Linked DNA regions of Coturnix japonica. The protein of the gene in region 1 interacts with the protein of each later gene in a biochemical or structural test. Links are inferred from orthologs where the notes say so. Each region holds a gene or a part of one and is shown in the gene's direction. Other genes may lie near its edges.

Region 1 (3,747 bases):
TTCAGCCTTGCTTACAATGCCTGTGTGCGCCTTCTACTGGAGGAAATCACTGCAGCACTGCACACTCAGTTTCCATAAGGCGAGGAACTCCTCTCCCACATAAAAAGATTTCTGCATTCTGATGTGAGTTTGAACAATGTTCATTTACACACCTTCAGCACCAGCCCACATTAATACCCACTCCCAGGAAATGCACCTGTTCAGCTCTACAGCTGCAAGAAATCAGTGGGACTACTCAGATTCCTTGGCATACACTTACTGACCAGTAACACTAGAACACGAGGTGGGCTTCAGACCAACTGTTAAATGAGGTTCAGCAAGAGGACATCCAAGACCCTCCACCTGCCTGGCCATCTGGAGCAGGTGAGCGTGGCCCTCAGCTGAGCAGTGCCCTACCCTGCAGGACTTGTATAGCAGTGTTCAAATCTGATCTCTCTTAGTGGCATTTTCTGTGCATTTTCCATGTAGTTTTGGTACACTAAACAATCCCTCACACCTGCGCAGTACTTTAAACACAGCACTGATGGGACCATGCACGTAGGAGTGTGATTTGCAGGACGACTCCTTGCTCTTTTGGGTTTCATTGGCATCAAAACAGAGCAGAAGCTGTTACTTCACACAACCAAAGTAACTGTGGCCCAAAGCATTTAAAAGCACCAGATGTTTTACCCTCATTCCTGACCTTTGACACCTGAACACACAATCTGTTACTAGCTTTAATTGTTAAGACCCAACAAGGCTCAGACACAGCTGCCACCCTCCAGGTGTGACCTTGAGCTAAAGAACCTGCACTTTTAACCTCCAAACCCAACACTGGCCCTGCAGGACTCAGCTCTCCTCCTTACACAGCTGCTGCTCCACCTGTACGCAGCACCGGTAATCACTAAACTCAAAGGAAACCAATTCAAATATACTGTTTATTGTCAGCTGAAGTTCCCTGCAGGCAGCCAGGATGGCTTTTCTTTCCTCACACAATCAACCCCTCCTCTGCTCTAGGGTACAAAGAATCATCACACATCGACAGCAGCTCCGCTCCACACACCGCTACCCCAAAGCACCGCACCAGGAGCCAGCAGAGCCAACAGAGCAGCAGAGCTCCTCCTTTGTCGCCGCTCCCCGAGACCCGCAGCCCAAACAGCCGCAGCATTTCCCGTACGGAGCCCAGCCCGCCATCAGCCCGCCATCAGCCCGCCATCAGCCTAACACCACTCCGCCATTACCCCGCCCCGTAATGGCGCCCTGTTACCTCACTTCCGCTCCGTTCCGCCATTTCCTCTCCGCGCCCCGTGACGTCACGCCGCCCGGCGGCCAATCAGCGCGAGGCGATTCCAACTCAAATTTTGTGTGTCGCCGCGCGGGCCGGGCCGGTCCCACAGCGTGCCGGGACACAGGGCAGAGCGGGCACGGCCCGCAGCTCCGCACCGCCATGATCAGCAAACCCCGCCGCGGGGAGATGCCGTTCCAGGCGGTGGCGCTCAGCTCCATCCCCGCGGGCACGCTCACCCCGCTGAAGGACCTGCTCCGCTTCGGCCCCGCTCCGCGCCCCGTGCTGCAATCCACGATGCTGGAGGGCGGCCGGGAGCCGATGGGCATCGGCGACATCAGCGACATCCGCCCCGGGCCGCCGCCACCGAAACGCTGCGCGCGGGAGCAGCCCGAGCAACAGCTCGTCCAGCAGCTCGCCCAGCACAGCCCGGCTGCGGCATTCCTCAGGATGAAGATGAAGATCGAGGCGGACGGCACTGACCGAATCCTGACACCCGGCGGGGCCGGGCCGCGCCTTGCGGACGGGGGGAGGCGCAGGGACCAGCAGCACGAGAGAGGTCGGTAACCAACGTGTGCCCGGCCGGGGAGCGGGCAGCGCTACCTGCGGGCTGTAGGGAGCGTCTGCGGCGGGGGGATCGAAGCTGAAAGATGGGGTTGGGTGCGAGCTGAGGGCCGCCAGCATTACCCGGAGCCGGTGGTACAGGCGGTGATAGAGGTACCGGAGCTGCGGGTGCTCCTCTGTGGTGCCCGGACCGGGGGACACCGTCCCGCGCAGGGCTGGATGGTCTGTCAGGCCCCGCCCAACCCCACCGTGCTGAGGAACCGCGATCGGTTTGTTTCAATGTGTTCCCCCTGTTCTGTCTGCGAATGGGGCTGATCTGTTGCCATCTGTTCAGTCTGGAGAGTGACGCTGTGAGATAAACAGAAACAAATGAATAGCTTGTGCTGTTCTGACAGCTGAGAAACGAGGAGGGTTGGTGGCAGAGCTGCTTGGAAGCTGAAATACTTGGGAGGCACCTGCTGGGTGCCCGGCTCTGGTGCATCTGCAAAGTAGTATCCAGCTCCCAGCAGCTGCTGCAGTGCCGAGTTTGCAGATGAAGAACTCCACGACCAGGAACACCCACAGCTCCTCCAGCTGCTCAGAGCCCCGTCCAAGCTCTGACCCAGAGCAGTGCTGCAGTGTTAGGAATTGCTGCCTGCTGGCACAGAGCTGCCGTCCGTGCAGGCAGTAATGATGGTTGGCAGGGGAAGCTGTCCCATGGCAGAGCCCTGTTAGCCTCGTGTTTGGGCCGTTCTGAGTGGAAGAGCCACTGAAATACTGTCTGATTTATCAGCTTACAGTGCTTCATCTCTGTACACCTGCCTGAAGTGTACTACGTATAAATAATGACTTTTAAAGGCCTCTTCCAGCTCAAACAACTCTGTCATTCTAAATCTTACGTGTTGGCCATTTATCCAGTTAGTTAACTGAGAGTATTGCTATGGAGGTAGTAGTGCCCAGGCTTCATGGTTAGTTATTTTAAAAGCCTTTCTAAATCTCCTTGCTGCAACTTAAAGCCCCTCATTGCCTTCACTGTATCTGTTGGACATGATGAAAACAAGTAGCCTCTTATTTCTACAAAACCTGAACATTCTGAAACTTTCCTTTCTAACCCCAGCTTTCCAAAATGTGTGTTTCCATCCTGCCTCGTTTTATCTCATATCAATAATGATTTCTGACCGAGCCCTGTGTTCCTCTGGGGGGTACTACTGGGTAGACCTTAATAGTACAAAATAGATCCTGTTTGCATTCGGATCTTATGAAATGTGTCTTTTGCTTCTCTTCTTCCCGATGTTTTTCTTCCCCAGTTTCAACTGATTTTTGATCTGTTCTTTCAGAATTACCCCACGTTCAGATCCCCCAGAACCAGGCTGTGAAAATGCTGAGCATCGACCCGATCGTACTGGAATCTCCTCAGAAGTTCTTCTTGCGTATGAAGCAGAAATTGCAGCAGAGGCAGCAGCAGCAGCAGACAGGTACTCAATGTTGCTCTTAGAACCGCATCAAAAGCTTGCGGGACTTCAGGACGCCTTTCTTTCTTATAATTTCTTGTGTGCTATTGGCAGAATAGTGCAGGCTGTTGTTTGTCTTTGTAGTCTGTGCACGGAGGAAAGAGGTGCAAGAAACCTGCAGCTCTGCCTGTTCAGCCCTGGAGATGGCGTCAGACTTGCAGGCTGTAGGTCAGGATGCTGCCTTCGGGCATTGAAGCCTGACATCATTTGTCTGTTGTTTTTGTTTTTCCATTTGTACCTGTCTGATGTTCATTCAGACTCTGGTGTTGTGGTTAAGAACTCTTTATAAACCAGGTGTGACAGTTTGGCACTAGAATGGGAATTTGATGGAAATGTCCTAAACTTTTTGTTTGCTAAGTCTTTCCCCCACACTTTTGCTTTTAATACATAAAAAGGAAAGGCTTGGTTTCCTGATGACAAATGTAGAAT
Region 2 (3,747 bases), about 31 Mb from region 1:
CTTCATCACTGTCAGTTAAAAATCTTCCCCAACATCTAATCTAAATCTCCCTTCCTTTAGTTCACAACCATTCCCTCCTTGTCTTGTCACTATGTACCCACGTAAAAAGCTGATTTCCTTCATGTTTATAAGCTCCCTTTGAATACTGTAAAGCTCCAATGAGGTCTCTCTGCTGCTTTCTCTTTTGCTTTTGTTATAATGCCAGTTTAACTGAATTGCAGATGTAAAATACTTGGGGTTTAGTTAGTACAGAACTTAAACCTTAGTGTTTACAGGGAATAGTTTTGTACTGATACTAACAGATACATTTAAGGCAGAATTAATGCCTTCTGTTGCTTAAGAGGGCGTATCAAACGTTCACATATCTATCAACGTGTGAGCACATTAAACTAAAAGCACTATAAAAAAGTGCTTTTATTACAATTAACATCGTGCTAAAAAACCAATATTTGTAAACGGTAGAGCACAACAAAGTAACAAAGTTTAACAAAGTGTTCTTTCTGAAAAAGAAGGGCTGCCTTATTATTTATTACCGTATTTTCATTTCCTTGCACTCTTCCTTGGAAGTGCTGCTTCAGCGCTTTCAGCAGTTTATCTGCCTGCAGAGAAAGAAAGCAAAGCAGCACATGAACTAAACGCTGCACGGAGCCATCAAACAAACAGGACGCTGCCCAATCCCAAACCCAGCCCCAGCCCGCACAGACGTTTGTGAGCCCCTCGTTCCCCCGCTCACCCTGAGGTTGGCCTTCAGGCCGGCAGCCTTGGCGACCTGCTGCAGCTCCACGTACTTGAGCGCGTCCAAGGCCTGGAGCTGTGAGGGCAGCGCCATCATCGCTGCTCCGCCAACCGCCGCTCTTCGAATCTCGCGCTTAACCGACGCGCAGCTCCTCGCTCCCGCCCCCGCCGTTCGAACTGGCCCGCCGCGTCCTGCCATTGGTTTGGCCGGGTGAGGGAGGCGGGATTAACCGCACTGTGATCGCCCACTGGCCGCCGTAGCCCCCAGCGCTGTGTTTTTCAAGCGCGATTGGCCCCGGAAACTCGGGGCCGTAATTCTCGCCCTCTCCTTCTTGATTGGGCGGCAGAACGAGGCGAGGATTGACGGCTTTACTGCCCAATAGCAGCGCCCTCATGGCGAGGTGGAGGAGGCGGGAGACGCGCTCCAGCGGCGGAGATGGCGGTGAGGCGGCACCTGCAGCGCTTCTTCGAGGAGCCGCAGCGGTTCTTGGAGGAGCCGCAGATCCGCGGCACGATCGTGGTGGAGCGGCCGCTCCCCCCTGAGCCTCCCCCGGCTCCACCTGCTCCGGCTCCGGAGGCGCCGCGGTGTTGCGAGCTGCGGCCGGAGGATTCCGCCGTGTTCCAGTGCCGCGGGTGCTGGGCCGTGCTGAGCGACTCGCTGCATCTGTGCGCCATGGAGGAGCAGCGCCTCGGGCTCCTCGTGTGCCTCAGTCAGTGCTGCGGGACGGGGCGGGGATGGGGCCACGCGCTGCTGCTACACGAGCTAATCCTCTGTCCGCAGGAGTCACCGGCAACGTGCTGTGCGAGGAGACGCTCTTGGTCGGACTGGATGGAGCCCTGACGGGATGGTGCGTAGCAACAGCCTTATACAGCACGTTGAATGCCCTTATACAGTGCACTGCAGTCTTACGTGTTTTACTGCCCTGACAGAGGCAGCGATGCAGTGCCCTCTGACAAGTGAGCAGCAGTATCCGTGCTTTCAGAAGCTTTTTTTTTAATAATATAATTGTTTTGTGTTTCCTTTCAGTACGTACAACACACTGTCCTGTCGGTCGTGTGGCTCGGCTGTGGGCATTGTTCTTTATTCTGCCTTCAGAGAGCTGGCCTATCTCCGAGGCTTCTTCTGTTTCTTCAAGGACAGCATCTTCTGGTAGGTGCCCTGCCCTGGCTTCTGATGGTCAGGGACTTCATGGCAAGCTGCAAGTTATTCCAGCTGAATACAGCCAACATACCTAACAAAAGCTGCTTTATTTCTGACTCAGAGCATCACTGTGGGATGTTAATGTTCTGTTCTTGTTTTATGTTGTCATAATTCCATCTGATCTACCTTGTACTTTTTGAGTCTCCTTATCTTACATCAAAGTTTTAATTGAGCTATTTGCGGTGCTGAGACTCCTTCAGTTCCAGGTCCACTTAACTAACGTGAGCTATCAAAACAAGTCTGCGATAGATGGATCTGATTATAGAATCACAGAATAGTTTGAGTTGGAAGGGGCCTTTACAGGCCATCTCATCATCTAGTCCAACTCCCCTGCTCCTAACAGGGACACCTACAGCCAGAGCAGGGTGCTCAGAGCCTGGTCCAGCCTGACCTGGAGTGTCTCCAGGGACAGAACATCCACCTCAGCTCTGAGCAACCTGTGCCAGTGCCTCAATAGCAGATACCAAGAGGACTTCATGATTTGGAAGTAAACATGTTATTCTATGGAGAACTTTAGGGAATAGTTTTATCTGCTTTAAAATCAGCTTAAATAGTCTGTCTAAATGAGTGCAACTTCTTGTTTGCAACTGTTTTTCTTGTTTTTCCCCACTTGTTTTCCAGTTATCTCTTAAAAAGCAAAATGATAATCGAAGCTTCTAAGGTGAAATTTCCTGCTGTGACCTTAAAGGATCAAATGGAGAAAGTAAGGTTTCCACGTGACTTTGTATGAAAATAGCATGCAATACTAATATTTCTTGATTTGAAGTATTTTTAATTGGCCAGAAACATAATATTACTGTATCTGCAACACAGACCAAGTTCTAGCTAATCTTCTGACGTAAGTGTGCTGTTTACTTTCTTCTTTAGTGAATGTGTATGGGGCTTTTTAACTACCTAAATGTTGCCAAGAGGGAAGGGTACTTCTCTACATGTTGAAAACAAAACAAACAAAGAGAATCCTTTTTAAATGAAACTTTTCCTAACTATTGCTACCTGTGTTGTGTATTGCTACGTGGAATTGAAAAGCCACTGTTGAAGAATTAAAAAAATATATACACATTTGTTAGATTGAAATGGATTTCAGTGTTTTTATATGGGAAGTGACACTAAAATACAAAAATGCCATGCAGGCATAAGTTCCCCTGAAGCTGAGATAGATTATTTTGAGGTAAAAGTACAAGTGCTTCATTGCAAACATGTGTTGTGGCGTTTTAGAGAAGCTGTGCATTGATCAGAGCAAGTGTTAGACTCTATTCTTTGCTTTTTAAAATATATCTTAAAGATACATCATTAAGATGTGAAGATAAAAAGATCTATCTTGCCTACGGTGCTTTTCATGTGTTAACTTCAACCCCAGACTCTAGAAATGGCATTTTTAAGGGGTTGTCCCAAACCGATGCTGTCACAGTCTCCAAATCTCGCTATGTAAAAACATGTAACTAGAAAACATGGCCCTGATTACAGCCAAGCTCCAGCAACTCTAAGTGGAGCGTTTCAGTGCATCTCTGACACTAGTTATGCTGACCCACGTTCATTTCTTTCTAGCACAGGTTTGTGATTCGAGTCTTGGTTAGTTTTGGCTTTTCTAGACATAGAACATAAAGTCAGTCCAGCATCGTTTTCCGTTCTGAAAGTCATCTGCTCTTTAGCCACCGAAAGTGGGATGCGTATCATTAAACACCCAGAACTTTTGCCCTCTAATTTTACAATTCCCATCTCTTTTTTTGTTCTTAGCTGAAAGAAGACCTTGTGAATGCACATGTGCGTGTCGATTTGCTGATGAAGAAAGTGGAACAACTGAAACAAAATAA

Evidence for each region.
Region 2: the proteins of MIS18BP1 (region 1) and OIP5 form a complex in vitro, tested with the Homo sapiens proteins (2 studies listed by BioGRID). The link is inferred for Coturnix japonica from reciprocal best matches to the Homo sapiens genes MIS18BP1 and OIP5.

What each region holds. Positions count from the first base shown.
Region 1 is NC_029520.1:53,297,143-53,300,889, forward strand, and holds the start of MIS18BP1 (mis18-binding protein 1), read left to right. Parts: upstream 1-1,397; 5' UTR 1,398-1,426; coding exon 1,427-1,823; intron 1,824-3,144; coding exon 3,145-3,282; intron 3,283-3,747. UniProt on the Homo sapiens protein: Required for recruitment of CENPA to centromeres and normal chromosome segregation during mitosis.
Region 2 is NC_029520.1:21,981,892-21,985,638, reverse strand, and holds the start of OIP5 (protein Mis18-beta), read left to right. Parts: upstream 1-1,079; 5' UTR 1,080-1,171; coding exon 1,172-1,445; intron 1,446-1,516; coding exon 1,517-1,583; intron 1,584-1,762; coding exon 1,763-1,885; intron 1,886-2,557; coding exon 2,558-2,639; intron 2,640-3,670; coding exon 3,671-3,747. Other genes in the region: NUSAP1 (nucleolar and spindle-associated protein 1), read right to left, coding at 534-599, 734-934. UniProt on the Homo sapiens protein: Required for recruitment of CENPA to centromeres and normal chromosome segregation during mitosis.